Linked DNA regions of Alligator mississippiensis. The protein of the gene in region 1 interacts with the protein of each later gene in a biochemical or structural test. Links are inferred from orthologs where the notes say so. Each region holds a gene or a part of one and is shown in the gene's direction. Other genes may lie near its edges.

Region 1 (6,990 bases):
AAGGCTCACTCCATGCTGGCCCCCGGCCTTGTCTACCTACTCCCCAGTCACAGAAACTGAGGGATCAGCAACTTTAAATGTTTTACCCCCTGTGCTGTGTGATCTAGGTAAGCTGTGCAGGCTGGTAAGGCAGCACTGTGTTCCCTCATGTAGACACATTGGGCAAATTGGACAAAGATCAACCTTGTCCATAAACTGTTACACATTTGCAAAATGGGTTGTGTATAGGGTGACCATATATCCTATTTTCACCAAGGCAGTCCTGTCTTAAACACCTGTCCCAGGCCTCCTGTCAGTTTGGTCAAACTGATGCTTTTCATTGCATAAAATAATATTTATTATTTATAAAAAACAAACCAAAACTAAACTAAACAAAATAAACCCCCTCTATTTTTTCCTGAAGATTAGATACAAAATCACAGGAAAAATAAACATCCCAGGCCAGAAACATTGTTTATACAATTGCTTATGGGTATCCTGCAACCCTTAAAATCAATGACATTTTTGTGATTTACTTGAACAGCACCAGGTTCAGGACCTACTCTTTCAATATACATTTTATATATATATTTTAACTATCTAAGCAAAAAATGTGCTATGCAAACCATACTACTGAGTTAATTGTTTTAGTGAGCAGGATGGAGCTATCTGCTGTTTTATTGGTTGATATAGTGGGGTGGAAGGCATGCTGTGTAGTTAGGTGCCTTTGCTAAACTAAAAAAGAACATGGCATTTTTGTCCCTTTAAAATAGTTTATATTTTCCCCCTTTCTTGAAGATAAAACTGTTTTGTTTAGGTTATTTCTTAGCAGTTGAAATAAGAGGAAGGATGCTTTTGTGGTTAATGTGTGGTTATGGCTCTGAAAAGTGACAATAAGATGACAATCTCAAGTTTTGTTTGTGTGGAAGTGAGAGAGAATATTGGATATGGTCAGCTGAGAAGTAAAAATTGAATTTTTTGTTTTTCTAATTGTCAGCCATGCAAGCTTGAAATAGGAAAATCAGCCTATGTTGTTGGCATGTGTCTTGCCAACAAAGAAACAATTGGAGCTTAGAACTGGAAAAATGGGTATAACGGAACCCAGGAGGTCATCTAATCCAACTCCCCACACAAGACAGGATCACCCCTTTCTGAGGCAGATCAGCCACGTGTTTGTCTAAACCAGTAGTTCTCAACTTTTTCAGACTCAAGACACCACTCACTAGACTCAATACACCCCTAAGAAAATGTAGCTCTTAGTTTTCACTTGTTTTTCTGATTACAGAAAAATAATAGAGCAGTTTTTTTCTGTTGCGAAGAATTCAGACCACAACGGATCAAAATATTTTTAACACTATGAATTCCTATTTGAAATCTCTGTGAATATCTTGTGAATGGTGTGCAAACCTAGCAGTGTGAATGTTGCCTGGCACTCTGCAACACTCTTGAAAGGATCTTAAATCAACCCGGGGTGTCATGGTGAGCTGGCTGAGAATCACTGGTTTAACCTGCTTTTAAAAACTTCCAGTGGTGGAGATGCCACAACTTCTCTCAATAACAATTCTGTTGATTAACATATGAGCCAGATCCAGTCCATTCAGTCTTATCTCTGCTGGGTTCTGTGGGGTATGAGGAGTGAAAAGAAATAGTTACAAATTTATTATCACTAAAATCAGGGGATTCCATTCTGAATTTGTACATACAGCAAAGAAGCAGCATTTTTGCATAAGGATATTTCTGTAAGACTTAAGGTATTAGATTGGGCTGGGGATCTATATCTCTCAGTTCCGAAATCCTTGAACATGAAATAGAAATGGCTGGAGGGCAAAAATGGCTTTAGTCCATTTTTTAATTCAACATATTTTGGCCTCAGTGTATGTTACATAAATCTTGAGACTGGACAGGTATTCAAACAATTACAGGGAGGCCTCACCTGTGCACAGTATATTTTTAAGGGGCTTTTTGTACCATTCCCTGTCAAATTAATTTAGAAGGTCTAATATAGAGGTCTAATTTTAATTTAGACCTCTACATTTCAATCCCAGTTCTACTAGAAATGGCACCAGAAATTGTTATTCTTTTCAGGTATGCACAATAAGATGACCTATATCTTTAGTGTGGCACTGGTTTGGCTGTTGGTTTCTGTGGAATACTCTTGTGGTTTTCTCTGCTGCCTGTCTGCTTGATCTGTTGCTAGTCCCAAAAATATGGGAGTACACTGGTTTCATCTGAAATCTGGACTCTGTCTGAATTTCCTTCATATCTATGATCTAATTTAATTATTTCTAAATGCACATATAATGTGAAATAAATGTATATAGCATTTAATGTTTCTTTTTATTATTAATGGTGAAAACTATGAAATAATGTGATGATTAGTTAATTTGGAGTTGAAAGGGCAACACTACCCCACAGACAAAAAATGAATTGTAACCAGAGTACACAGGGATATGCAGAGATAGGAAAAAACAAAAGAAGTTTGGCTTGGCTTTTTTATCTTGAAATCATACTCTTGACTTCTATGCATCATGGAAATATTTTTAATAGTGACTAAAAAGTGGTGCCAATGCAGTGAACTGGTGGGGAACATCATTAATGCAGAGATGGAGCAGCAAGGAAGAATCATAGAAAATGAGGGTTGGAAGGGACCTCAGGAGGTCATCTAGCCCAACCCCTACTCAAAGCAGGACCAGCGCCACTTAGATCATCCCAGCCAAAGCTTTGTCTAGCCAGGTCTTAAAAACCTCCAAGGATGGAGTCTCTACCACCTTTCTGGGTAACCTGTTCCACTGTTTTACTACCCTCCTAGTGAGATTTTTTTTCCCTAATATCCAACCTAAACTTCTCTTCCTGCAACTTGAGACGGTTACTCTTTGTTCTGTCATCTGCCACCACTGAGAACAGTTTAACATCCTCTTGTGAACCCCCCTTCAAGGGAAACAGAGGAGTAAGAAATAGAATACTAAGAAAAGAGCGTTGGCAGTGGGAATGTGACAAGAAACACTGCTGTTCCCAGATAAGGAGAAGGGGAGGTCTTCAAAGGTGGTGGAGGCCAGCACTAAAGGTTGAAAGCTGAGGCAGCGTTCAAGGCAGTGGTTCTCAATGTTTTTAGACTTGAAGCATCCCTCAGAAAATGCCAGTGCTTAGTTTTCACCTGTTTTGTGACTACAGAACAATGCAAGAGCAATTCTTCTGTTGCAAAGATCTCAAGAAGCCCACAGCAGGGCACAGTGGTGGTGATGCCACGGATTCCTATTTTAAGTTTCTGGGTTGATCTTGCAAACCCTGTGTGTATGCCAGCACTAACGTGACATGGCACGATGGCACCCCTGAAAGGATCTCTGGGCACCCCAGGGTGCTGCGACCCCCTGGGTGAGAAGCATCGGCGCCAGGGGCCGAGCAAGGGGTGTTGCTCTATCGGTGCTTGTGCAGGATGGGCGAGGAACAGGAGATTTTAAGTAACATCTTTTCCTGGGGGCTTGGCTTCTGAAGAAACCCGGCCTGGCTTTTCCCTTCTCCCCGCGGCGGGAGGGGAGTCTCCGGCGGGGGTTTCGCGGGGGCTCCCCACACTCTCCCCCTGTAGCAACAATGCACGTGTGACCATCGCCCGACACGATCATGATTAGATTCCAATCCAGGCGGCAGCTCCGCTGGAAAAAGCAGCCGCACTTTTCCATACGGCTCTTTTAAGGCGCGGGGGGGGGGGGGGGGAAGCGATGCTGCTGGCAGCCGCCGCCCGCTGTCTAGGCGCCCTCCCACGCAGCTCCCGCCCAGGCCGCGGTCTGGCAACAGCGCGATTGTCCCCAACATGGAGGTGCGGGCGGCGCGCGCAAACCTCCGGCACACCGGCACGGGGAGGGGAAAGGGGCGGTGCCACTCGACGTAGCCCTTCTCTACGCACCTGGAGGCCACCTCTATGATCCGGCGGGGGAGGGCGAGGCACGAGACCCGGCAGGCTGAGGGGGCGGGGCCGGAGGCGGGGCCAGGCGGCTCCCCGCGGCCGTTGCGCTCAGACAGGCAGTTCCCCGTGGCTCTCCTTTGTGTCTGGGCCGGGCTCGGAGCGGCTCCGTGCGAGGGGCGACGCCTGTGGCCCCCTCCCCCGGGGCTCCGGGCGATGCGGCGGGGCTGAGCGGGGGCAGCTGCCAACGGAGGAGGCGGGACAGGGCCCCGGGCCTGGCGCTGCCCGCGACCCGCCGCACCGCGCCCGCTCCCTCCCGCGCGGCTGCCGGGCCGCGATGCCGCCGCGGGGCCGGGCCGGCGCCTGAGGGGCCGCGCACGGAGCTCGGGCCGGGCCGGGGGGGGATGCAGAGCCGCTGTCGCGAGGGGGGCGCGTCGCCGAGCCGCCGCCGCCGCCTCGCGGGCACGGGCTGACAGGCTGAGGCGCGGGGCTGCGCGAGAAGCCGGCGCCGCAGCCATGCGGGCGGGAGCAGCAAGGCAGGCGGCTCCTGGCGGCTGCCATTTGCCTTGCCAGCCGGGCGCGTGAAGCGCTGCCCGGAGACTGGGAGGGGACCCTCCACCGGCTGCATCGATCCGCGTTTTCCTTCTCCTGCGCTGCCTCCTGCCTCTGCCCCCGGGATGCCGGCCTCACTGCGGCGCCTCCTGCTGCTGCTCTGGCTCTCCGGTGCCACGGCGCTGCTCGGCAGTGCGGCTGGTAAGTAGCCCCTGGGCGCGGGCAGCTAGCCATTTTGGGACGGGGAAGGGCGTGGGGTCCCCCAGGGCTTCAAAGCGGCAGGGGGCCCTGCTACAGCATCCCCCTGCCCGCACCACATGCCCCCATGCCCTCAAATGCTCAGCTGCAGACCAGACCCCCTTGGAGGAGAAAACGGGCTTCATTGTCTACCTGGACCCACCCCTCAGCTGGGCTTTATTTCACTTTGTCTGTTGTTGGCTGAATGGCTTTTTCGTGTCATGGGGGGAGAGGAAATACAGCCTTTTTATTCTGAAAGCCTCGTCCTTGGTGATGTGTGACATAGGAACACATCTAAGAAAAAAGAAAAAGCCTATTGCCAGCAGAGCTGTGCGTGCTTGCTGGTGGGATCTTTGGGCACAGCCATTTTTAATTTTAACAGCCTCTGTGATTTGAGAGGCATTACATCTACAAGGGCGGGTGCATTTTTAGGGATATCTGCTAGTCCACCGCGCCTTTTCTCCTGGGTGTTTGAAACCCAAGTGAAAATTTTTCATTGTTACCTGCGATCACAGGGCGATAAAACAGAAAGCTGGTGAGGAAGCTGCAAGGTGTGTGAATACAGTGCATGAAAGATTTACTTTATAGCAATCGAAATGCCTAATGATTTGGAAGCGTCGTTTTCTTTATTTCAAGCAGTTGAATCCTTTTTCATTTTTTTTGAAGCTAAGGTTTAGAGGAATAGAAAGAAGAGTTTTCTATGAATTCAGAAAAGCAGTTGATATGGCTCTGGCCTTGTTGGCTTTTGGTCGTTGTATCGGCTGAGAATGGAGGAGCTCTTCTCTGAAGGGTTTTTCAGCTTTTATTAAGTACTAATGCATATTCCTCCCTTGTGTATGCTCTTTCGGCAGCTTTGGAAGACTCGTGGCACCGCGATATCTGTCCTTATATTCAAAAGCCAGTTTAGAATACCCAGTCTTTTCAGCATGATTCTTTAGTCGGCTGTGTATCTTAGTCACACGCACAAAGAATAATTTTTCTTGTGAAAACAATAAGATTAGGATAGTTGCACACAACTTTTCACATGAGTAGTTTTAAGTTTGAGGTGTTTTTTTTGTTTGTTTGTTTTTTTTCAATGTTCAAACCAGTCACTCTGTGAATCGGTCACATTTTTATCAGTTTCTCCATTGTGGATAGTCCGCGTTCATTTCACTTCTCTTTTTTTTAAAGATCTTGAGGGAACTAGTGAACTGAATTGTAAGTAGGCAACATTTGCCTGCATCAGCATGACCTTTGACTGCATCATTGATATTACAGAAGGATATATATATATATATATATATACAGTGTCTGTGTAGTAATTTAAGAGGATTTCTTTGAAGAATGGATCTTGGAAGGTCAAAAGCTTTGGTATGAATATGTATGTATGACCCTAGAATATCACATTATCTAAACTTGTCCCTTAAACATGAAAGTTGAAGTGTAGTGTTTTATTTAATTAGTCAGTAAAACTTCAGCAGGTTGATATTTCTTTGTGCTGATGGGCGTGAAGGATTATTGAAGGAGTGAGCACTGATTTGAGCTAGGCAGGCAATGGGCACCTACTGCATATAAGCCTACTCAGTCCATTTTGCCAATTGACCTCGGTTTTCACCCGTTAAGAACATTCTTGCTATTTCTAACTTGGGTATGTCTTGTAAAGAAACAATAGCAAAGCCAGTATTTTTAGTCATCTTGTGATATGTATGACTAGGGATTTGCTTTTACATTATGAATTTATTAAAAATATGCATCCAACCTGGGCTTTAAATGTTTTGTTCACAATTGATGGTTGCTAATGTTTTTGAGACTGGGCTAAAGTAATTTTTTGAAAGTTTGATTGTAAGTTTTAACTGTGAATATTAAGGAAAAATACTGATACATGGGAAACCACTTTAAGGTGAAATTCTGCCCATTTATGTACATGAACGAACCCTTTTATCCTCTGAAGTAAAACTGTAATTCATGTATAGGTGCAACAGTTTAACCCTGTGCAGATTTGAGATCCTCAATTAACATGCTTCTGCATCTCATATAGGAAAGGCTAACTCAGTGGCAGGGTAAATTCAGTATTGATAGTCATGAAGCAATGCACTCTGGGCGGGAAACCTGAATGTATGATTTTAAGTTAACAGGACTAATACTGAAAAAATATGTAGGCATCTTTTGTAACATCCTTTCCTTTTTGACTATGCATGGGGAGTGTAAAGGAAAATATTATAGTGTCATTAAAAATAAAGGATTAATTTACAATCTGTACAGAATCCAGGAAATATGGTGGATAGGGATTTTCTTTATGCTGAACATTTGAAAACCTTGAGACTCAATTACGCTGAACATTTGAA
Region 2 (7,741 bases), on another chromosome or scaffold:
TGAATAACACATACTATATAGTAATATGTTTAAATACTAAAAAATAACCAAGATTTATATTTTTGTAAATTATACTTTATATCCTTTAGGTTGCTTTTAACAAAAGCTAATAAATTAAGGTACAGTAGTATTTAAAAATAGTTGAAATGTCTTTCTATAAATACACATTGTTGTATTCTGTTAATTAGAGGAAAAGCAATGCTATCTTATTTGGAATGTCCAGGCTATGCTTGTCACAATATAATTTATAGATTAAAGCCAGAAGGGACTACTATGATCATCTAGTCTGACCTCTTGCATAATACAGGCCAAAGAACCTCACCCAGTAACTTCTGTATCAAGCATAAAGTCACAGCACCCTGGTTGAAAATTGCTGCCTAGTTTGGGAATCTTGATATGGCTTAGGTGGGCCAAGTGCTGAACTGTTCAGTCCCATCATGATAAAACTGCTTCAGGGCATGTCCAGAAGCAGAACTTTAAGTACCTGAACTTTAGTTCTCTACATCTAGAATATAAGTGATTCCAGGGTTCGGTGACAGCTGAGCAAATGCTTTGAGGTTCTAAGTTTTAGACTCACATATCAAGACTCACCTAAATCACATTTTAGACACCTAGCTCCTTTTATGGTCCTAGCTTTTATGTGCCTCCACTCTCTACCTGTAAAATGGTGGTAATAACACTATCATACTTCATATAAGTGTTGTTAGCAATATTAAAAAATAGTATGTTAATCTTATGGAGAGTCAAACCACTCACCTTAAAATAGAAGGTTAAAAACAAAAGCATTTTGCTTAACATGAGCATCTCATGCATTCTTTGGTGCCGATAGGGTCTGATTCTTTTTTCACTGTTATAAATATGGAAGAATTTCATTAAAGTTGATGGAGTTACATAAGTGTAAACAAGACGAGAACCAGACCCATAATATATGATGCAATAGCTATACCTGAGTTACAGCTTAGAGTGTAGACCTTTTTTGCAATTTAAAAAAAATATATTAAACCATTGCCTATACTGTCCTAAACAAATACTCATCTTTTCCCACAGACATGGCCTTGTTCCCATTTAACATCTGGCTAGAATGACACGTTGGTCTAGTGTATTTATGTTCTGGTCTATTACATTTTGTTTTCCTTAGGGAGCCTATTTTACATCCTGAACTGTTCCTTGGTCACAGACTTGCTTTCCAAGTCATGATGATGCAGGTGACTAGGAGAAGGAAACACAAATCTTTGATTCAATATGTTTGTAGGTAAAAGTCCCTCTTCTGTACACAGCGAGGGTACTTTAAAGAACATGGTCAACACTTAAAATTTTTGCTGGCATAGCTGTCAGCTAGATTGCAGAAAAAAAAATCACACCTCAGACTGATGCAGCTGTGCTTGCAAACCTTTCTAATGGAGACACAGCTTATGTAGGCAAAAGAGTTCTTTTGCTGGTATAACTTATTTCATTTAAGGAAACAGAATGAGACATATCAGCGAAAGGACATTTTTCCTGCTATAATCTGAGTCTCTGCTTGGAAGACTGGGAAGGTTTTCTGTCAATAAAGCTATACCAGTCAATTTTATAGTGCAGAAAAGGCCTAGGCCAAGATTTTTCAAAAGCAATGATTGATTTAAGGAACTTTAATGTGTGGTTATCTTACCTGAGATACTTTAAAAGGGGCCTGTTCTTGAGCCAGTGTCTAGAACACATCCTATGAAAACCAGGATCCATAAGTTGTGTAAAGTTTGGAGTCCAAAATCACTTGGCATTTAGAAGGCTTGCCCTAGAATGTGGTGTTTCAGTTATTGCAGTGGGAAGGGGGTAGTTTGGAGATGGAGCATAAGAAAGAGCCTGTATCAGGGAAATACTTTCTCCAGAAGCTGATTCTAATATAATCTACTCCTATTGACTTCACTGGGAAATATATTTTCATAGAACCTCTGAACAAAAGGCTACATCAGGCCTAGGCTGAAGTTATACATTACATTTAGACCATACTAAATCTGTGGAATGTTAACCAATTTTAAAAACAGAATGTGCTGTAAGCAGTTACACATTATGAGTTAATACTGTTCCTTGCCTGCATAACTCTGACTTGACACTGGAGGGCTGGTGAGCAGGGCCATGAGAGCCAAGACACCTGGGGTCTATCCCCGTTCTGAGGATGCAAGGCAGCAGTGCATCCTGGGATGCTAGAGGACTCATTTTATCTCTGTGGAGCAGACTGAATTTACCCTAAATTTTTCTAAGTAGCATGGGCCAGAGTTAACCCTCTCCTGAAGTGGCATAATGTTGAGATGCTCAGAAGGCACTTAACTAGAATTAATGAGTTTTAACATGTGGATGCTCACTTTTTAAGTGTCCTTAGTATGATCTAAGTTTAACATGCACTTTGAAGGTAAATCAATGGCAAAAAGAGTGATGTTATTGCTAAATACAAACAGGTGAATAGTGAGTAGGAGCTGGGAGGTAATTTTACTTCTGTATACCGCACTGGTGGATGAACACTAGAATACTGTATACTGAACTAGTGTCCACATGTTAAAAAGGATATTGAACCACTGGAGACAATATAGAAAAGAGCAACAAAAATTATTTGATGGGTGGAGAAATCACCTTACAGAGAGAGACTCAGAGGGTGCCTCTAAACGTGCTCAGTAAAACATCACCATCTACACGTGTGGCAGTTAGGTCAATGTAGATTTATTTACTACACTCTCAGATAGTCCCATCTGACACAAGTACTATCTGAAGGTGGAATAAATTACTGTGCTTATGTGCATGTGTAGATGGTGATGTCAGGATTAGCTTACTCCAGCTCAAATTGTACCAAAGTTTATTCAGTCGCATTAATTGCATGTGTAGACATGCCAAGAGAATTCAATCAGAAAAAAAGTCTATGAGGTGACTTATTTATTATGTAAGTACCCTAATGACAAGAAAATACCATGCATGAAAAGGTGTTTTAATATAATACAGAAAGGCATAACAAGATCAAAGGCTAAAAGTTGAAGCAAGACAAATTTAAATTTTAAAGTAGGCACAATTTTTTTTTAAGTAATGACAATCACCCAGTGGAACAAAATCCCTAAGGAAGTGATGGATTCTCCATCTCTTAACTCAAGATTAGATGCCTTTTGGAAAGATGTGCCTTAGCCAAAAACAAGTTATGTTTTATTCGGACATAATTTACTTGGCTTAATACAGGGGGCAACGTCACTGAAATGTTATTCCCTGTGCTAAATGAGAGGTTAGACTTGATGAGCTCATGTCACATCTGGCCTTAAAAACTACAAGTCCAGAAAACAAGATTTGCATGTCACTGGAGAAGAATCATGTCACGGGATGGGGTCCTTAAGGATGGCCGTGTTCTCCTAAAGCCCCTTGACCATGCCAATGTGGCCCGATGGGCACCCTCAGTTCTCACTCCACGTCTTTGATGAAAAATATGAAAATAGGGAAGCTGCCTTTAAGTCCTCTTGGACACGGTTTGATGGACTTACTGAACCCTGTGGGTTCCCAGATCCCTTGTGGGTCTCGTTCCACAATGGGTGTTTCGGGGCACCCTAGCCTTATGGGCTATATGCATGGCTCCAACTGCCCTTTTACCATGCCCTAAGCCTCACAGATGGTGCTGGCATTGTCTTGCCTTGGCCTCATTATAATTTGGTCCCTTGTCCACATTGGGCTCTCCGCAGCCCTGTCTCTGCACCCTCTCTGGCGCCAGGGTCTCTGCACCCCAAATGCCACGCCCTTTCTGGCACCGGGGTCTCTGCACCCCCAAAAGCCGCGCCTCTGGTGCCGGGGTTTCTGCACCCCCAAATGCCACGCCGTCTCTGGCGCCGGGGTCTGTGCCCCCAGCAAATGCTGCACTCTCTCTGGTGTCAGGGTCTCCGCGCCCTAAATGCCACGCTCTCTCCAGCGCTGGGGTCTGTGCACCCCAAATACCGCACCCTCTCTGGCGCTGGAGTCTGTGCACCCCAAATGCCATGCCCTCTCTGGCGCTGGAGTCTGTGCCCCCACCAAATGCTGCGCCCTCTCTGGCACCAGGGTCTCCACTCTGTAGTGGGCCCCCAGTGAGGCCTCCTTCTTCCCCAAATAGCCTCACCCAAACCACCGGTCTTATAAAACTACAAACAAAACATAAGCCCCTGAGCTATAACTTAACATAGGCTACCAAAGGTGTGCTCTGCCCCTTTACCATTACCCAGAGCAGAGGTTAGTCAGGCCTCTTTCCTTTCTCATTCTAAGAGGGCTCCTTCCCCCTTAGCCACCAGCAGAGAACTGCCTCCCTTAGTTTCAGCCTGGGTTTATATGGGCCTAAGGCCCTGCCCCTTCCTGCCAGCTGACCAGGTACAGGTGCTGACTAATTTCCACCTTAGCCGGTTGCCATGGCAACCTGCATCTGGGCTCCTGCCTGGCTCTTTGGGCTCTCCCCAGGCAGTTCCTGCTTTTCCTGCTCTTCTAGGAGCAGGGCACCTTAGTGTCCTGTGACAAATCAGATAAAAGCAGAGTAAAGGAAGATATGCTCTGTAGGGTTGTGTGAAGCTTCAGCCCCTGATTCAGTTTGGTGGAGTTTTGGCCCGATTCGGTGGCCAAATCTTCAAATCCAAATTTAATCAGGAGACCCTTTAATCTCTCTGAATCAAATCGGAACCCTCCGAATCGATTCGGACAGATTCAGAAAGATTCAGAGATTTGGACATAGACACAGCTTTAAATGTTTTTTCTACAGACCTCAAGGTACCAGGCGGCTCATCAGCACTGTGATGGTGGGGCAGATGGAGCATCCCACAGGAGTGCAGGGGGGTCCCCAGAGTGCTCAGCAGTAGACCCGGAAGTGGACCAGAAGGACTTCCAGTCCACTTCCAGATCCACTGGGGAGATGCTGCCTCCCCCTCCCACCCCCACCCCATGCTCCCGCTTGGCTCAGCAACTGGTGCCTCCTGAGTCTGGAGGGTCCCCCCGTGACTGATTGCCGAGATGGGGAGTGCAGGGGGGGCCCCCAGCGTGCTCCCTGGCAGACCCGGAAGTGGACCAGAAGCATTTCCGGTCCACTTCCAGGTTTGCTGCCGAGCACGTGGGGGACCCCTGTGCTCCTGTGGGATGCTCCATCTGCCCAACCATTGCAGCATTGATGAGCCACCTGGTACCTTGAGGTCTGTAGAAAAAACATTTAAAGCTGTGTCTATGTCCAAATCGTAGATTCTCCGAATCAGCATCAAATCTTCAGATTCAGATTCGGCCAAATTGGGGACAGTGATCCGAATTAACGAATTGAATCACTGTCCTGATTCGGGCCAATCCAAATAGAATACAGCCCATTTCACATACCCCTAATGCTTTGCTAAAAAACTGGAAAAGAATGACTAGGGATAAAATTTAGCGGTAATTTTGCGTAGGTGTTTTGAGCTCTCCTAGTATCAATGAGATGGTATGGCATCCACGCATGCTACAGGTTAATTTCTACTTTAAAAAATCATACAAAGGCAGTTTAAGTAAACTGGTTGTATAATATTAGATTAGATCATTTAGGATGGTTAAGTTCAATCAAATTAAATATCAAATCATAATATGCTATATAGATAACTAGTTTAACTTCCTGAGATACAAAAAACACAACTAACGAATCTCACTTCTTTTACTTTGGCCCAGATCTATATGGAAAACAATAACATCCATGGATAATCTTCGTTACAGTCATAGAAACCATTTACTTTCTACATTGGTTTAGTAGGCTGAGTTTTATCTTCACTTTGAGATCACTTAGGCAATAACTGGTTGTTCTTGGACCAACTTAGCCAACCTCGTGTGCATGAATCTAAGAAAATACATTACATAACGTGCTATAAAGTCACACTGTTTTTCTCCATGCATCAAAGGATGCACACTGAAAATAGAAAATCTACAAACAACTTGAAGCAAACTTGATACAAAACAGATATTTCACTGTGTACAAATAATAGCTCTCAGCTGATAAAAAGAAGGAAATTTTAAGGTTGTGTGCAATGTTGTGAGATCATGTGTTGCAAGAGCACAGAGTTCTACCAGAAGAGTGATTTTGGATCAATAAATTAAGGGACTGGGGTAAATATCTGAGGGCAATGTTTGCTAACTGCTAATGAAACATTTTGTTCTTAACCCCCACCCCTCTTTTCAGCTTTTGTAGTTCCTTAGGGAAACACAATTTTATTCTCCACCCCCAAAATGCTTCTCTTTAGACCTCTCCCTGTTGGCAAGGAAATGATAAAAAACATAATTAAGCAATGATGACCCTGAAGTGAAATGTGGATTCTTTACAGTATGCAGTGTCCTTCCCATAAGCCATATGTGTTTGTCAGATGTTTATAGAATCTTCATTAACTAAGAGCTTTGCTAGATAACAGAAGCTGAAGCATGGCATCAATGGCTAAGATAAGGGCAAGTGTACAACCAATCTGCTTGACAACTGACAAGAGGCTGTGGTTTGAAGCAGGCTGCAAAAGAGCTCAAGAAAGTGATTTGCAAAGGGCATTTCAGTTGTTTGCCTTCTGTTTCCCTTTCTTCTGGCTCTAATCAGACGAGTTCCAGTCAACTGGAATAGCCCTGTCTTTTCTTCACCATTGGAAAGTGAGCATAGGGAAAATGAACTATTTGGGGACATTTGCTGCATTGTCCATTTTCAACATCATTGCTTGTTTGACAAGAGGCAAACCCTTGGAAGAAAGAAGCAAGTTATCAGTTACGGAGGATTCTGATATATACTTTGGTGAGCTGGGAGAGATGGAAGGTGAGACGCATCTCAATTTTAGAAGCCTACTGGAGAACATGAAGGCAGATTTACTGAGGAGTTTGAACTTATCTAGGGTTCCTTCACAAGAGAGGACCAAAGAAGAACCACCGCAATTCATGATTGATTTGTACAACAGATATGCCATGGACAAGTCTTCCATCCCTGCATCCAACATTGTGCGGAGCTTCAGTACTGAAGGTATGACATCTTAAATACAGACAGGAATTTACAAGGCAGTCTGTGAGTTGGGTATTAAGTTCCTATTGAAATTCGGGGGAAGCTTCATACCTAACTCCCATAGGCTCCTTAGACCAATCCCAGCCCTGGTCTGTTTTGTAGTTCTTTCTTCTGCTCCTTATTTTCTTTTGGTCTACATGAAACATAATGGCTTTTAGTTCTTTTCTTTGATTTCACATTGTACAATCTCTCCTTCTCATACTGAATCAGATGAGGCACCACATCTATAAAATTGAGGGTTATTTTGTTATCTGTCTCAAAGCTAGAGAATTAGGGCTGAGTTGAAAAATTTGGAGCTATACGTGAGGCATCAACATAAAACCATAGGGTTGGAAGGGACCCCATGAATCCCCTCATCCAACCCTCTGCATAGATGCTGGGTATGTTTATTTCTAAACCACCCCAGACAAATGTCTATCTAGCCTCTTAATGAAAAACCTCCAATGCAGGAGTTTACGTAGCTTTCCTAGACAGCTTGTTCTGTTTTCCTTTGTTTCTTACTTTTAGGAAGCCTTTTTTCTAAGATTTAATTTAAAACTGCTTTGCTGCAATAAACCCACTGTCTTGTGTCCTGCCCTCTGTGACAATGGAGAACACTTTTTATCCCTCTTAGGTTAGTGCAGCCTTTCACATTTTTTAAAACTGCTATCCCTTCTTATGGAACAACTGTTTGCAGTGTTCCTCCCATACTTTATCAGGAGAAAAGCCAAGTAAAAAACATAGCTTGGGATTTGAACTAGGGTC
Region 3 (7,083 bases), on another chromosome or scaffold:
GGAAGATCATCGGGTCCAGCCCCTGCACCAAGCAGGCTGGGATCAGACATTACTACTGTATGCACAATCACCAGGGAGGGCCCAGGGGCTTCTGTGCAGATCCTTTTCCAGATTGGAAAAAAAAGAAAAGCAAAGTGGGGGGTCACTCGGTTGCCTCTGCAGAAAAAGTCAACACATACTGGTAGCATGCAGCACTGCACTGCAATTTGCTCAGCGATCAGCCTCGAGACTCCTCAGATATTGATAGGAAATGTTTTTTAGCAGGGTTGGCAGGTGTATTTGTATGGACGAACCTGTCATCTGATCAGCCTCCTTCGCAGAGTGAAACCCCAACAGTCTCCCGGGTCGATCTCCGGGAAAAGCTGTCAGTCCGGCCCCGCGGTGTGTCCAGGTGCGGGCGGTCCTTGGAAGGCAGCTCAGCGTGGGCCGAGGGGAAAAGGCCGTGCACAAAAAGGCCAGGCCAGCTCTATTGCAGCTTGCAGGCAGGTATGTGGCCAGTCACCTCATCTGAGCCTATTTAAATGGGCTGAATCCAGGGGCCAAAATAAGCCGTCTGCACTGGCCTGTTGACAGCCCTCTGCACTGGCACTCGCTGCTTTGGTCTGGATATGCATCACGTTTGCATGGGCCAAATTCATCCCAGGTGCAACTCCACGCTGACATCAGAGGGAGTGACATCAGGATGCGTTTGCCTCCTTGGGCTCGAGGAAGCGCTATTTTGGCAGGAAAATATTCCAACCCCCTCAGTAAAAGGTACACTGTCTCCATCCAGGGTTATTCTTTTTGTGGTTTGGGGTTTATGTATTTACATCTTAAGGAATCAAGTACTGGGTTAAGCAGCAAAGCTTTCCCCGTGACTCATGCTCTTTAATAACTAATAAGCGGCTCCAGCACACCAGGACTGCTCACAAGGGCCTGTGCCACACCGGCCTCGGCTGGATTGCTATCCCAGAGCGGCCTTCCTCTTACACAGCGTTGCATAAGATCGGTGTAACCCTTTGCAAGGTGGTTAAGAGAGGGCAGCTCGCTAGCGGGGGATGCAAGGTGCTCTGGAAGGGGATGAAATTGCTAGGGGAGAAACGCTCCGACGAAACGTGGAAATGGGGTGTTCGTCACCAATGTGAGCGAGGTTTCCAGGCACAGGGGGTGGAACATCGGAGCTCGGCTCCCTCGTGCCATAGCTGTTGTGGGTCGGTTGCTTTTCCCGATCTGGAGGACTGTGTTAAAAGCCGGACACTTACATAAACGTTGTTTATAGACTGGAAAACCGTCAACGAAAATGTTATTTCACTCGAGGAAGGTGCACAGTGGCCCCTTGGAAATTGTTTTCTGTTGTTAAACCCCCCCCCCCCCCCCAAAAAAAAGCAGTGTCCAGCATGGTATAGTTGAAATGGTTATAGCAGTATTTTTCCCCGTGTTGATTAATTCATAGACCAAATACCTTGCTAACAGATGTTTCTCTTAAACTTATGCTGGTTTAAGAATAACTCAATGTCAGCACTGCCTTTATCTGCATATGCCTTTCCAGTAACATTCACAGGCATTTATAAGGCACGGGCTGCGTAGAAACAAAAGAAAGCTGAATGCAAAAAACCGAACGGATTTTACCCAGAGCTTCATCTCAGATGCCAGAAGTGATTGGGGCACCATGCCTGCACAAGTTTGGGGGTTTTTTTTTCCCAGATGTGTTGGTTGGCAGTGGGCATTTTTGATCCTGTTTTTATGGTTAATTTATAACACCTAGCCATGAAAGACCCGAACCATAACACAGCAGAAAGTCCCTCTGACTCCAGAGATGGGAATGAATGTGTGATACCTATGCATGTGCAATACAAGAGAGCAGTACAGCCGCACCGGGGTTAGCTCTCAGCTGACCTAGAGTAGCAAGACCAAGGTGTCTGGAGAGGAAATCACCCAGGATCACTTCTTTGGCCATGTTTCTGGGTCTTGCAGTTGGCAGACTTTTTTTCATCCTGTGTGAGAAACAATGTCAGAACTGCCATTTCCTGGGTCAGGCAAATTTGGGTGGGTTGGGTCCATCTCGCCCTGGCTCTTGTCACGCAAGGGCAGAGAGTGGATGCTGGAAGGATGAGAGAATTGGGTATGAGCAGGGTTTTTTTTCTTCCCCTCTATTCCTCTCTCTCAGCCTCCAGCATTTAAGGTCTAAGAAGTTTTGATGGCGCGTGAGGTGATATTCCTGAGGGGACGCAGAGCAGCAGTGCCTTAGAGAACGCCGTAGGTAGAGTTTCCGTCACGGCTACCTGGATGTGCCTCTCCGCGGAGGTGTGCGAGCATCTGCCAGCTCTCCGCTTCGGGAGCTGCACTCTCCCTCCCCTGCTCCTCCGTCACCTCCAGCAACCGAAGCTGCGGGTTAATTATAGATGGGTCCCAACCAAAAGCTCACACGCGAACAGCCTCGAACGCCGGGGAAGGTGCGATGCGAGTGTGCAGTGTGTGTCTGGCTGTGTCTGGGACGAGCTGGAGCGCAGCTCTTCAGACCCAGGCACCCCCAGTCTTTGGAAAAGGTTGGCTCAGGATTGAAGTCTGGCGTATGGACCCCTAGCCGGCCCTCTGCCCAGGCATGCCAAGTTAGCAGTTACGGTCATGGGGAAACATAGATACCCACATCCCCATGGCCCTAGCTCTGGAGGGCTGCTTCCCCGGCCTGTCCACATGCCTGTGGACTCTTAAAGCGCCACTGGGCTCCATCACTAGATTTTGGGGGACGACTAAAGAGAAAACAGTGAAGGCACAGACGCATGATGAGTGCGGCCAAGCAGCGCCCACGACCCCTCCAACGTGGCCAAGGAGCACAGCAAAACTTTTTTTTTTTGCAAAATATACCTGTACCTCTAACCACCCATCCAGCGATCCCTCTGGTGCACTCGCCAGACCAAAACACACTTGACACTTTATTTATTTTTTTTGCAAAAGTATTTAATTCTGCATATCTTTATTCCTAATATATATATATATAACTGTACCTGTCACAACCCATCAAGTGACCCATCTGGTGCACTTGCCAGACCAAAGCACACTTGAAACTTTTTCTTTTTGCAAAAATATTTATTTCTCTATATATTTATTTCTAATTGTACCTCTAACAACCTGTCAAGGGACCCCTCTGGTTCACCTGGCAGACCAAAACACACACCGACAGTCCCTGCAGTCCCGTTGCACAGTCCGCCCCCGGCCACCCACCCCTCCCCATGCCCCTGCTATAGTTCCTGGTCCTTGCAGAGGGTTTGCCTCTGCCCAAGCCCATGCCCCGCTCCTCTGCCCCCTATAAGCTCTGCCATTTCTTTCTGTCGTAGCAGAGCGGAGCGGGCAGAGGAAAGCGGCTTGGCGGGGGGCAGGGTTGCCAACTCTGAAGCTACGCCAGGAGGTTTTTTTCATCACATGCCATTAACGACTCGACATCGGGAAGGCAAACGCACGCGCCTACAGGCAGTCCTCGGACTTCCGACACAACGGCTTCCCGAAACCCCCCCGTCTTAAATCGAAACGTTGTCGCTCGGAACCGATTTTCTCATAAGAAACAATGTTACAAATGGAGGATTGGTTCCTGAACCAAGGCCCCGATACCGTTTTCACCCAAAATACTCTTTTGTACTCAGTCCCTTACAGACGAGGCGTATCGCTACAGTCATGTATGTCTACTGCAAACAGCAGTCGTATGGATTTGGAAGGACTTCTTGGAGCTGACTTGGCTGGACTTTCCGAAGGGCTGGAGTCTTGTCGGGAGTGCCGGCCGCAGGTTTCTCCGGCAGGCTGGTCCGAGGGCGCTGGGACAGCCGTCCTGCGGGGAGGCGGGCGGGCGGGCGGGCGGCGGGCGCTGTCAAGCCGCAGCGGAGGTCAGAAAGTGGCTGGAGCGCGGAGAGCTGCAACTTGAAACGTCGCAAGTCGAGGACTGTGTTTGAAACCCCCCCAAAAGCGCGCACACACACGCGCGCACACACACACCCCCGCGCACAGCACAGCGCAGCGCAGCGCAGCGCAGCGCAGCGCCCCGCCGGGGCAGCGTGCCGGGGTCGCGGGCGGGCGGGCGGGCGCGACGGGGCGGCCGCGGAGAAGCCCCGGGGCGGGGCGGGCCGGGGCGGGGACGGGGCCGGGCCGGGCGCTGATGGACGGCGCCGGGCTTCACGTGACTGCGGGGCTGGAAGAAAAACAGAGGCTGTCCGCGGGGGAGCCGCAGTCCCGAGTCCCGGCCGCTCGCCCGCCCGCCCCGTCGCGGCCCCGGCGCCGGCCCCGCGCCTTCCCAGCCGCCCGCTCCGCCCTGGCCGTCGAGAATCATGGACTGTTTCCCCATGCCTTGCTCCCTGGCCGTGAGTAGCCCCGGGCCCCTGCCCCCCGCCGCCCCTGCCCCTGCCCCCGCGGGCGTCGGGGCCGCGTCTAACCCGCGCCTCTTCTCTCCCCGCCGCCGGCCGCAGAGGCACCATGACCGCTGGTAACCGCGCGCTGATGGTCCTGCTGTTTTGCCAAGCGCTGCTCGGGGGCGCCAGCCATGCCAGCCTGACCCCCGAGCCGGGCCGCAGGCAGCCCGCGTCCGGAGCCGCGCCGGGGCCGCGGGGGGCGGCCAGCCATGCGCTCTTGCGGGGCTTCGAGGCCACGCTGCTGCAGATGTTCGGGCTGCGAAGGCGGCCCCAGCCCGGCCCCGCCGCCGTCGTGCCCGCCTACATGCTGGACCTCTACCGCCTGCAGGCGGGCGAGGACGAGGACGAGGACCGGGACCGGGACCGGGACCCGCACCGGGGCGCCCGCCTGCGCTACCCCGAGAGGTCGGCCAGCCGCGCCAACACCGTGAGGAGCTTCCACCACGAAGGTCAGTGCCCCCCGGGACTCGCCGCCTGCTCGCCCGCCTCCAGCCGGCTCCTCCGCAGCTTTGGGGAGCCCCCGGGGTGTCCTGGCTCCTAACCCAGGTCCCAGCGCCTCCAGCGGGGCTTGCAGGGAACCCCCTGGGCTGTCCCAGCTCCTAACCTAGTGCCTCCAGCGGGCTCTTGTGAGGAGTCCCCCCAGGCTGTCTCAGCTCCTAACACAGCACCTCAAATGGGCTCTCCCGGGGCTTGCAGGGAGCCCCCCAGGCTGTCCCAGCTCCTAACCCAGGACCCAGCACTTCAAATGGGCTTCTAACCCGGGACCCAATGCCTCAAACAGGCTGTCCCGGGGCTTGCAGGGAGTCCTCCGGGCTTTCCCGGCTCCTCACCCAGGACCCAGCACCTCAAGCGGGCTCCTCCAGGGCTTGCGGGGAGCCCTCCTGGCTCCCAAACCCATGTCCCCCCTGGCTATCCAGCTGGTACTTGCCTGATCCCAGCCCTCCCCAGACTGTGGGTTTGCAGCTAGGGAAGCCGGTCCCTGCCTGTGTTTTTTGCCCTTTAAAAAAAAATAAAAAAAATCAGGACTTGAATGTAATCCTTACAGCTGCGCGTTTGTAAGGTTGGTTCAATGGGGCCTTGTAATCCGATCCAAATGTTTCCTAGCGGATGTTTCTTTTCCAAAGTAAATCTGCGTTATTAATCCGCCAGCATCATTACGGACTTCAAACTTACTTTCTTTCCCCCCACCCCCCAGTAATGGGTTCAACAAGGCAGCGCTCTGTGGGGTTTTCTCTCTCCTCCCTGCTGTGATGGCACAGCCTTTGAGAGAGATCCTTAAGAGGGGGGGTTGGAGAGCAGTTTTCAAAAAACTTTAAAACTGAGCTGCTTGAAAAGCTAAGCAGCAGGGTCCAGTGCTGTTAACTAGGGTTTTGGAGCGAGTTGTGCATGTGTGTCTTGTGTCTGTGTGTGTCCAGGCAGGACGGGGGGGATAGTGCCACCCTGGGTCTTTGGCAGTGCAGTTTTCTGGGCGTGGGGGGTAAACCGTAGCTCTCAGCCAGCAAGGCTCAGAGCCCGAGTGGCCGGGTGACTTGTATTTTTGACTTGGGGGATTGATCTAGATACCCAGAGGTTTACGTGCTTTGCTCTTTTGCCCCCCTTGCTTTCCCCCTGCCCCCCCCAGAGCATTTGGAGAACCTCTCCGGGCCCAGCGCCGCCCCCCGCCTTCGCTTCGTCTTCAACCTCAGCAGCGTGCCCGACAACGAAGTGGTCTCTTCGGCGGAGCTGAGGCTGTACCGGGAGCAGGTCTGGGAGCAGAGCCCCGGCTGGGAGAGGGGCTTCCACCGCATCAACGTTTACGAAGTCATGAAGCCCCTTTCCGAGGAGCGGGGGCAAATGATCACGAGACTACTGGACACGCGGCTGGTGCATCACAACGAGACGCGGTGGGAGAGCTTCGACGTGAGCCCCGCCGTCATCCGGTGGACCAAGGACAAGCAGCCCAATCACGGCCTGGCGGTGGAGGTGGTCCACCTCGGCCAGACGCCCGCGCATCAGGGCAAACACGTCAGGATTAGCCGATCTTTACCTCAAGGGGACGGGGACTGGGCTCAGCTGCGGCCCCTGCTGGTGACTTTCAGCCACGATGGCAAGGGCCACGCGCTGGTGCGGAGAGCCAAACGCAGCCCCAAGCACCAGCGGCCCCGCAAGAACAAAAAGAACTGCCGGCGCCACGCGCTCTATGTGGATTTCAGCGACGTGGGCTGGAACGACTGGATCGTGGCCCCGCCTGGGTACCAGGCCTTTTACTGCCACGGGGACTGCCCCTTCCCTCTGGCCGACCACCTGAACTCCACCAACCACGCCATCGTGCAGACCCTGGTCAACTCCGTCAACGCCAGCATCCCCAAGGCGTGCTGCGTGCCCACCGAGCTCAGCGCCATCTCCATGCTCTACCTAGATGAGTATGACAAAGTGGTCCTGAAAAACTACCAGGAGATGGTGGTGGAGGGGTGCGGGTGCCGCTGACCCCCTCGCCTTCCCTCCCCCACCCCCCTCTCCCTTCCTTCCCTGCCCTCCTCCCCGGACCCCAGAACTGCTCGTTCCAGCCAGACTCTAAACTAAACGTTCACCTTGACCTTATTTATGACTTTTATGTGCAAATGTTTTGACAATAATGATCATATATTTTGACAAAATATATTTATAACTACATATTAAATGAAAAAAAAATAAAATGAGTCATTATTTTAAAGGTAAACGCACTTGGTGT
Region 4 (6,852 bases), on another chromosome or scaffold:
TCCCAGTAAATATTGCTAACCCAAGAACATTTTTAGTGACAATTTGCAAACTTTTTACTGACGAAACTTTTTTACTGTCACGTTTTCACTGACATATTTTGTGTAATGTAAATGTAACTCTTCTACTACGCCCTACCTTGCTTACAAAACTTCAGTTAGAAGAGCTGGGTTCAAATTTAGGGTTTAACACCAACCTTAGTAAAAAAAAAAATAAAGTTTGGTTGTCAGTGAAAAGTTTCTAGTAAAAAAAAATCTTGGGTTGGCAACACTGCTTGATTAAACCAATGGTTTATACCATGCTACCTCCACCCACACACCCTGCATAATGCTGCTTCCCCCAGCCTACCCCTCCCCCCCCATCTTATCCCTGGTGGTCCTGCTTTCCCTGTGCTGGCACAGGCCCACAATGAAGCCTACCTGCAACCCAGTAGCATTACAGGATGAGACACAGTGGCAGCAGCATGTGGCTAGAGGTGGGGGGCCGGCGGTGTGATCTACACAACCCTGACAACTGGCTTCCTGCAGGGTGCTATGCTACCACTCAGATAACAGGAGGCATTGCTCTACCCTGTCAGTCTTTCAGTCAAGCTCTCGCTGTCCAGCTTCTTTCCAAGGGGGAGCTTTAGTCAAGCAGACTTGTGGTAGCTTTGTGTTTTTAGAGATGGCTCATATTTATTTATAGACTTGAGAGGCAGGCATTTATAGCCTGACTTTTTTTACAGACAGCTGGCAACCCTGGCTCCAGCATTCCTCCTCAACTCCTCCCAGTTCAGCCAATGGAGGCAGTCTCAGCAAGGATGTAGCTGATCACAGACAGATGAGGCTACACCCAACTCTCCTTAAGTGGCCTGCCACCCTTTGACAGACTAACACCCTCCCCACCAATATTCAGGGCCACTACCTCACTACTCAAGAACCAGTGTCTATTTGTGTCTGTTCCCTCTAAACATTTTGCAGTCCCCTGAAGGCAATGTTGCCTTTCTTTCTGGCTAATTCTCAGCCCAGTCTTTCTGGATGCTCTGTAGTTTAAACATAGGATGGTAGCTATTCTAGGCCAGGTTTCAGCGAGAGTCTCTTCCAGATCCAAGTTTTGAGGGTGTTGGTTCTGAGGACAGCAGACCCTGTTAGACATTTAGGCTGCTACCTTCCGTTTCCTAGATTGCTGATGTTTTAGTTCAAGTATTAGCAGACACTGGATGCATTACACTGTCCATCTGCTCTTGTGACCTGGAATCCCTGCATGTTGGCTCTTCATATTGGAGATTTGGAAGGGCAGACTTATTTGGGTCCTAGTTCACTAGAAAAAGGCTATACTTCAGTTCCTGTAGGTTCAGCAATGAATATTGTTCCAGTCTTTCATTCAGAGAGTTTACATAGGGGTCTTCAGACAAGTAGGGTGATGGATTGTAGGGAGGGGGCTGAAGGGATACTTTTTTTAGTGTTGTAAAAGCTGATGTGCTGACATTTCTGACATGTTCTTAATCAAACAGGGCAGCTGCTGGTAGTGTAAAACGGACCTGGGAGCATGATTCTGGAGCTGCAGGCCACAGAACAAAGGTCAAAGGTAGCCATTAAGGGGCACAATGCTTAGAGACCAAAGCATTAGTCAAAGTTCAGTTAGACCAAATGCCTAGGAGCCAATGTCTAGCCAATGGTCCATAGATGACAGTGTGCCAGAAGTCAGGAATCTCATCCAGGAAGCAGTAAGACACATGGTCTGGGGATTGTAGGGGGACAACTATGTAGTGACAGTAGAATCTCCAAGCTAGTCAAATGAGACTCTCTTCAGAAGGCACTTATAAGCCCTTTTGTTCCTTTGCCCCTAGATATTTTGCTCTTTTTCTCTCTGTTGAGTAGGTAAAACATTCGCTGCCAGATGAAAGTAGGTGAGGAGTGGGGAGTGACTGGATTCATTTAGTATTTTGCCATTTTTTGGCAATATTAATTTTCTGTTGTGAATTGTGTGCTATATCCAAGAACCAAGGGAGCCCTTTCAAATTAATTAAATGTGTAACTATATAAATATTGTCTTTACATTGTCTTTACTTTTCTTTAGAAAACTAGCATTTCTGCTTTGATATACAGAGCTTCCATTTGAGCTGCCAGAGGTCTATGCTTCTGTTCAAGTGAACTCCAATCCAGATCCTTTTACTAACTTGTGAGACTATGTTCCTGGTGAAACCAATAATAAAACTGTAATTGGGAGTAAAATTAAGCCAATGCCAAGTGGTTTGGAAAAGCTACCTTCAATATGACAATGCAAGTCACTGAACCTTTTCCTGAGGCTCAGATTCATAATCTGTGCAGATAATGGTACTTCCATTTGCAAAGTGCTCTGAGACCCTCAGTTTGAAAGAGCTAATATTGGCAGGACATTATTTGCTAGGGTATTTCAGGATTTCTGTTCCTGGTCCTAGTTCCAAGCTGAAAGTACAGGTATGTGTGAAAAATAAAACAAAAATATCCAAAAATGATGGCACTTCTTAGCCTCAGGAACAGTTGAAATTAAGTTTTTTGAGACTGAGTTCAGCTTCAGTCTGGGAAGGGTGAGGGGTCCAATCGATTTTTAATTGATCCGAGCCTGTCCCTGCATTCCGAGGGTTCAGTTAGAAAAATAAGAGTTAATTTTCTGTAGCTTACGGGAGAGATTTGTTTGCTCTATCTTGTTTGCATTATCTTTTATATTTAATTGCCTGTGGACTTTAACATGTAGGATAATTTTCATTTGTAAGCATCAACAAATACATCACATGCTATTTCTGTGGGGTTGTATTGTGTACATGAATCTTTAAAACCTTTAAAGCGATGGTTTTAAACCTTTAAAACTTTTTAAATAAAAAGAACACATTTATATTAAATCATTTAAAATATGAAATTTGGATTTTAGAATCTGGTCTCTCTGGCTCCCTCAGTGCTTTAGCTTGACAGAACTCTAGTTCTCCTGCAGGGGACACTGCTGCTTAACACTGGAAGAATTTGTTTGATAGGTTCTGTTTCAGGAAATATATTACACAGCTGGGGCAAGCTAAAGAGGCACGGGGATGCCGTCTGTGAGACAAAAGCAAAAGGAAACATTCCCTCTGTATTTAATGGAGCTTCAGTTTATTTGTTCAAATATTTGCACCAAACTGGAATTAGCTTTACTTTTGAACAGCATAGCAATTAATGCCCCTAAAACTAGTATGAATGTATGTGTTGTATATGTATGAAATTAAACTTTATCCTTGTTTTAAAAATTACCTTTGTTGGCAAAGTCCTTCCATCGCCAAAAGGCAAAGTGAAGTCACTATTCCAATTCTTAGGAAAAGATTCCAACTCAGAATGGTTTTAAACATCTCTTATGAATCATAAGATGTTTTAATGTATTTATTCCAAGGGACTCTGTAAAAGATTCATACTGTTGATCTTACAATTTGTCCTGTTTGAATATGAAGTTCATCTAAGGCTAAGGTAGAGGTCGTATTGCCACTAAATGGCATCCTCTGGAGTGTTGATCCTACAGAGTTGTTTCACATGAGGCAAGGTATGACTCATGCTAATGGAAAGGGTAAAGAAGATTTTTTAAAGAAATATATTGCAGTTAAATTAGTTTAGACAGCATGACATCAGAGAGTAATTAAATAGGTTTTTGTTAGAATTCCGTTTCCAATTCCTGAGTTCAGGTTTGTAAAAGATTTCTGAGCACCTGCAGGTTTCTGTGTGAAATATTTTCACTGGAAAGGATTCAAAACGTAAAAAAAAAACTTTTAGCACAGAGGCAGCATTACGCCATTCTTCCTTTTTGGAAAAAAAGCCCCTTAGATTTAAACAAGACTCCTTCAAGTTTTCAGTCAGTTTTACAGAAGAAAAGGGGAGGTACACTTTCACTTTTCAAGAACAAGTTCTTTTTAGTTGCTAACTGAAGCCAGGGGAGAAACATACCTGACTAAATGTGCATTTCCACTATGGGACTGGATACAGATATTAGAGAAACAGATTTAAAGTGTTTTAAACTTAAAAGACAGCTATTTCTCCTGACAGTTTTTTTAAATTTTTTTCATGTTTTCTTCTGCCAAACTGGAGGAACCTTTTCTGATTTTTTCTTTAGTGGCATTCAAAGGAAGACCAGAGGATGAAAATCTTGCACTTTCTCACTTTATTGCTTTGGCATTTGACTTGGTTATATCTGGATTTAGTTTCTGTAGTGTTGAGTAATTCTGAAGCAGGTCAGAGTAATCCTGGATCCAAATTAGGATTGCTAAAAGCAGAAGGAAAAGAAAGGAATCCCTTATCAAGGGCAGGTACCTTTAGGACTGGAACCCATGGATACAGTGCTGGGACATCAAAGGCTAGAAGTAAAAGCAATACTGTTCAAGCTGGAGCTCTCCTGTCTAAGAAGGATGAACCAAAGAAGATTCTCTCTAGAGCAGGGACTACAGACACAAAGGTAGGACATTCCCCTAACAGACCATCTGGAGTAAGGACAGTGACTCCAAAGATTCAGAATGTTGGCAGCAAGGCCTCACTTAAAAAAACTGGCACCCGCAATACTGATGCCAGTTCTTACAAAACCAAGAAGACTAAAGAGCCTCTAACACAAAGGGAATCTAAAGAGACTTTCAGACACCCCCCTATCACACCTCATGAATACATGCTTTCCCTGTACAGGACTCTCTCAGATGCAGAGAGAAAAGATGTTAATGGAAGTGTAAAATTGGAGGCTGGACTCGCCAATACAATAACAAGCTTTATAGATAAAGGACAAGGTAAGAAAGAAGCTAAGGTGTAAGTATATGTGTATTAATGAAAGAAATGCATAAGTGTTCACACAGCTGTGTGTATGCATTTGTATATCCATAAAGTTACTTACAAAATAATGGTAATGTATTAAAGGCAAATAGCTTGACTGATTTAAATGTAATCAGATTTACATAACTCAGAGGCAATTTTGTCTTTTCAGTTTAAAATCGTATAAAATTCACCTGGAAACAGATGTGGATGTTTGTATACTTATCAACCAATGCATTTAGGGGCAGATTTTCAAAGGTTTTAGGTGTCTAAATAGGCGGATAAGTGCTTCTGAAAATCTCACTACTGTTTACCTACTAGGTACCTGACTTCCAATGGGACTAATAAATCTTGGTACTTCTGAAAATCCAGCAAGGTTCTTATCTTTAACTTTAAGTGTATAAATACTTTAGAGATCCATCCCTTAAGCTTTTACATAATTAAATTACAATAGTTGATAAACTTGCATTTTATTATATATTAAACAGTTCCACAGGCATAAGATGTGCTAAAGACAGTGATGATTTCTTTGCTTTTCAGTGTATCAAAAAAAGACTTTCTATATAAAAACAGCAGCCTTATATGTAATAAGGGGAGAGCTGAGGGTATGTCTAAACTGCAGTCACAAAAGTACTTAAAGTAGTATAAAGACACCTGAGCTAGCATGGCTCCTGTTAGCAACCTAACTAAAGAAATTCAGAACCAGCTAATTAGGCTAAATAGCTTCTGTGACTTCAGCATAGCCATTACCTGAGACTCTGTGGCACAATTCTTCTGTTTGTGGAGAATGAGCTAGTATAGTGCATGCACATATCCCACCAAGAAAAAATGAAGTTCCATTCCTCTTCTTATTGGTCAGGTAAGCACTCACAGGGGTCAGATGTTAACCTTACTCAAGTTGGGCAATGAGCCTAATGCTGTTTTCAGTGAAATCAGCATGAATTTTCTCATGAACTGGATGGGACCTCTAGACCACTGCCCCAGCAGTGCCAAGGTGGTCACTGATCCACTTTAGAAGGGAAACTCAAATGGGATTTAATTACAAACAGTCTGGTTGCTGTGGAGGAGTAGATGCTAATAACATACTAATACCCTTGTTTAGTCATGTTTCTTATTACTAGGGATCCTAGGTTTCTCTGATAAAAATCATAAATTCTCTGGTAAAAAACCCAAAATCCGTGATTAAAATGAAAGGACCCTCACACGCCTTCCCCCCCCACCCCCTTTGGCCCTGCTTAAGCCCCTCACTCCCTCCCCTCTGGCCCTGCTGGAGGGGGCCCCCAGCTGCCAGGGCTACGGGGCCAGAGACCCAAGTCCACAGCCCCCTGCCTCCAGGAGGAGGTGGCACCTGCTGCAGCAGAGCAGAGCACAGAACCCAAGTTATGTGTAGGCTGCTACAGGCTTGGGTGGGAGTGGGGTCCAGCTCCCCACTGCTGTGTGCTCCTGGGGGGGGGGGGGCAGAGGGGACCCATGCCCCCACATCTGTGTGCGGGGTGGAGGCAGGCACAGGCTCCCCACCCTGCTGCCCTCCCCTGGGGTCTCTGCATCCCAGTGGGTGCGACCCAGCTCTGCAGGGCAGCGTGGGGCCGTGCAGGAAAGCTGCTTGCAGCTGTGAGCTCTGCGCAGCCCTAGTGAGGCATCCCCTGCGTGCGTGGCAGCAGTGAGGGCACAACCCCATGCCACCATCCACACAGGGGACACCTTGCTAGGGCTCACAACTGCAAGTAGCTTTCCTGCTCTTCCCTGCAGCACCAGGTTGCAGCCACCAGGCTGTGGAGGCCCCAGGGGAGGGCAGCAGGGTAGGAGCCCAAGCCTACAGTGGGCAGCCTGTGCCCCTATCCTGCGCACAGATCTGGGGGGCATGGGTTCCCCCTGCCCCCTGGGAGTGTGCACAGCAGCGGGGAGTTAGTCCCACCCCGTGCCCACCAGACGAGTCACCCACGGCTCTGTTCCACTCCCCCCCCAGGACCCTGCAGCTGCACATTGCGGCCCCAGGTCCCAAGCCCCATGTGCTGCCCATCTGGGCAGCAGCCCCAGCCCTGCCCAACTCCCTCCTTATGGGGGCCTCAATCCCACCTGCTCCCC

Evidence for each region.
Region 2: the proteins of BMPR2 (region 1) and GDF2 form a complex in vitro, tested with the Homo sapiens proteins (2 studies listed by BioGRID). The link is inferred for Alligator mississippiensis from reciprocal best matches to the Homo sapiens genes BMPR2 and GDF2.
Region 3: the proteins of BMPR2 (region 1) and BMP4 form a complex in vitro, tested with the Homo sapiens proteins (2 studies listed by BioGRID). The link is inferred for Alligator mississippiensis from reciprocal best matches to the Homo sapiens genes BMPR2 and BMP4.
Region 4: the proteins of BMPR2 (region 1) and GDF5 form a complex in vitro, tested with the Homo sapiens proteins (2 studies listed by BioGRID and IntAct, with this or other methods). The link is inferred for Alligator mississippiensis from reciprocal best matches to the Homo sapiens genes BMPR2 and GDF5.

Annotation. Positions count from the first base shown.
Region 1 is NC_081827.1:171,408,494-171,415,483, forward strand, and holds the start of BMPR2 (bone morphogenetic protein receptor type-2), read left to right. Parts: upstream 1-3,972; 5' UTR 3,973-4,554; coding exon 4,555-4,630; intron 4,631-6,990. UniProt on the Homo sapiens protein: On ligand binding, forms a receptor complex consisting of two type II and two type I transmembrane serine/threonine kinases.
Region 2 is NC_081829.1:20,541,672-20,549,412, reverse strand, and holds the start of GDF2 (growth/differentiation factor 2), read left to right. Parts: upstream 1-4,736; 5' UTR 4,737-6,612; coding exon 6,613-6,958; intron 6,959-7,741. UniProt on the Homo sapiens protein: Potent circulating inhibitor of angiogenesis. Signals through the type I activin receptor ACVRL1 but not other Alks. Signaling through SMAD1 in endothelial cells requires TGF-beta coreceptor endoglin/ENG.
Region 3 is NC_081825.1:300,000,496-300,007,578, forward strand, and holds BMP4 (bone morphogenetic protein 4), read left to right. Parts: upstream 1-4,059; 5' UTR 4,060-4,437; coding exon 4,438-4,822; intron 4,823-5,994; coding exon 5,995-6,839; 3' UTR 6,840-7,071; downstream 7,072-7,083.
Region 4 is NC_081832.1:37,892,153-37,899,004, forward strand, and holds the start of GDF5 (growth/differentiation factor 5), read left to right. Parts: upstream 1-3,837; 5' UTR 3,838-4,111; coding exon 4,112-4,745; intron 4,746-6,852. UniProt on the Homo sapiens protein: Growth factor involved in bone and cartilage formation. During cartilage development regulates differentiation of chondrogenic tissue through two pathways.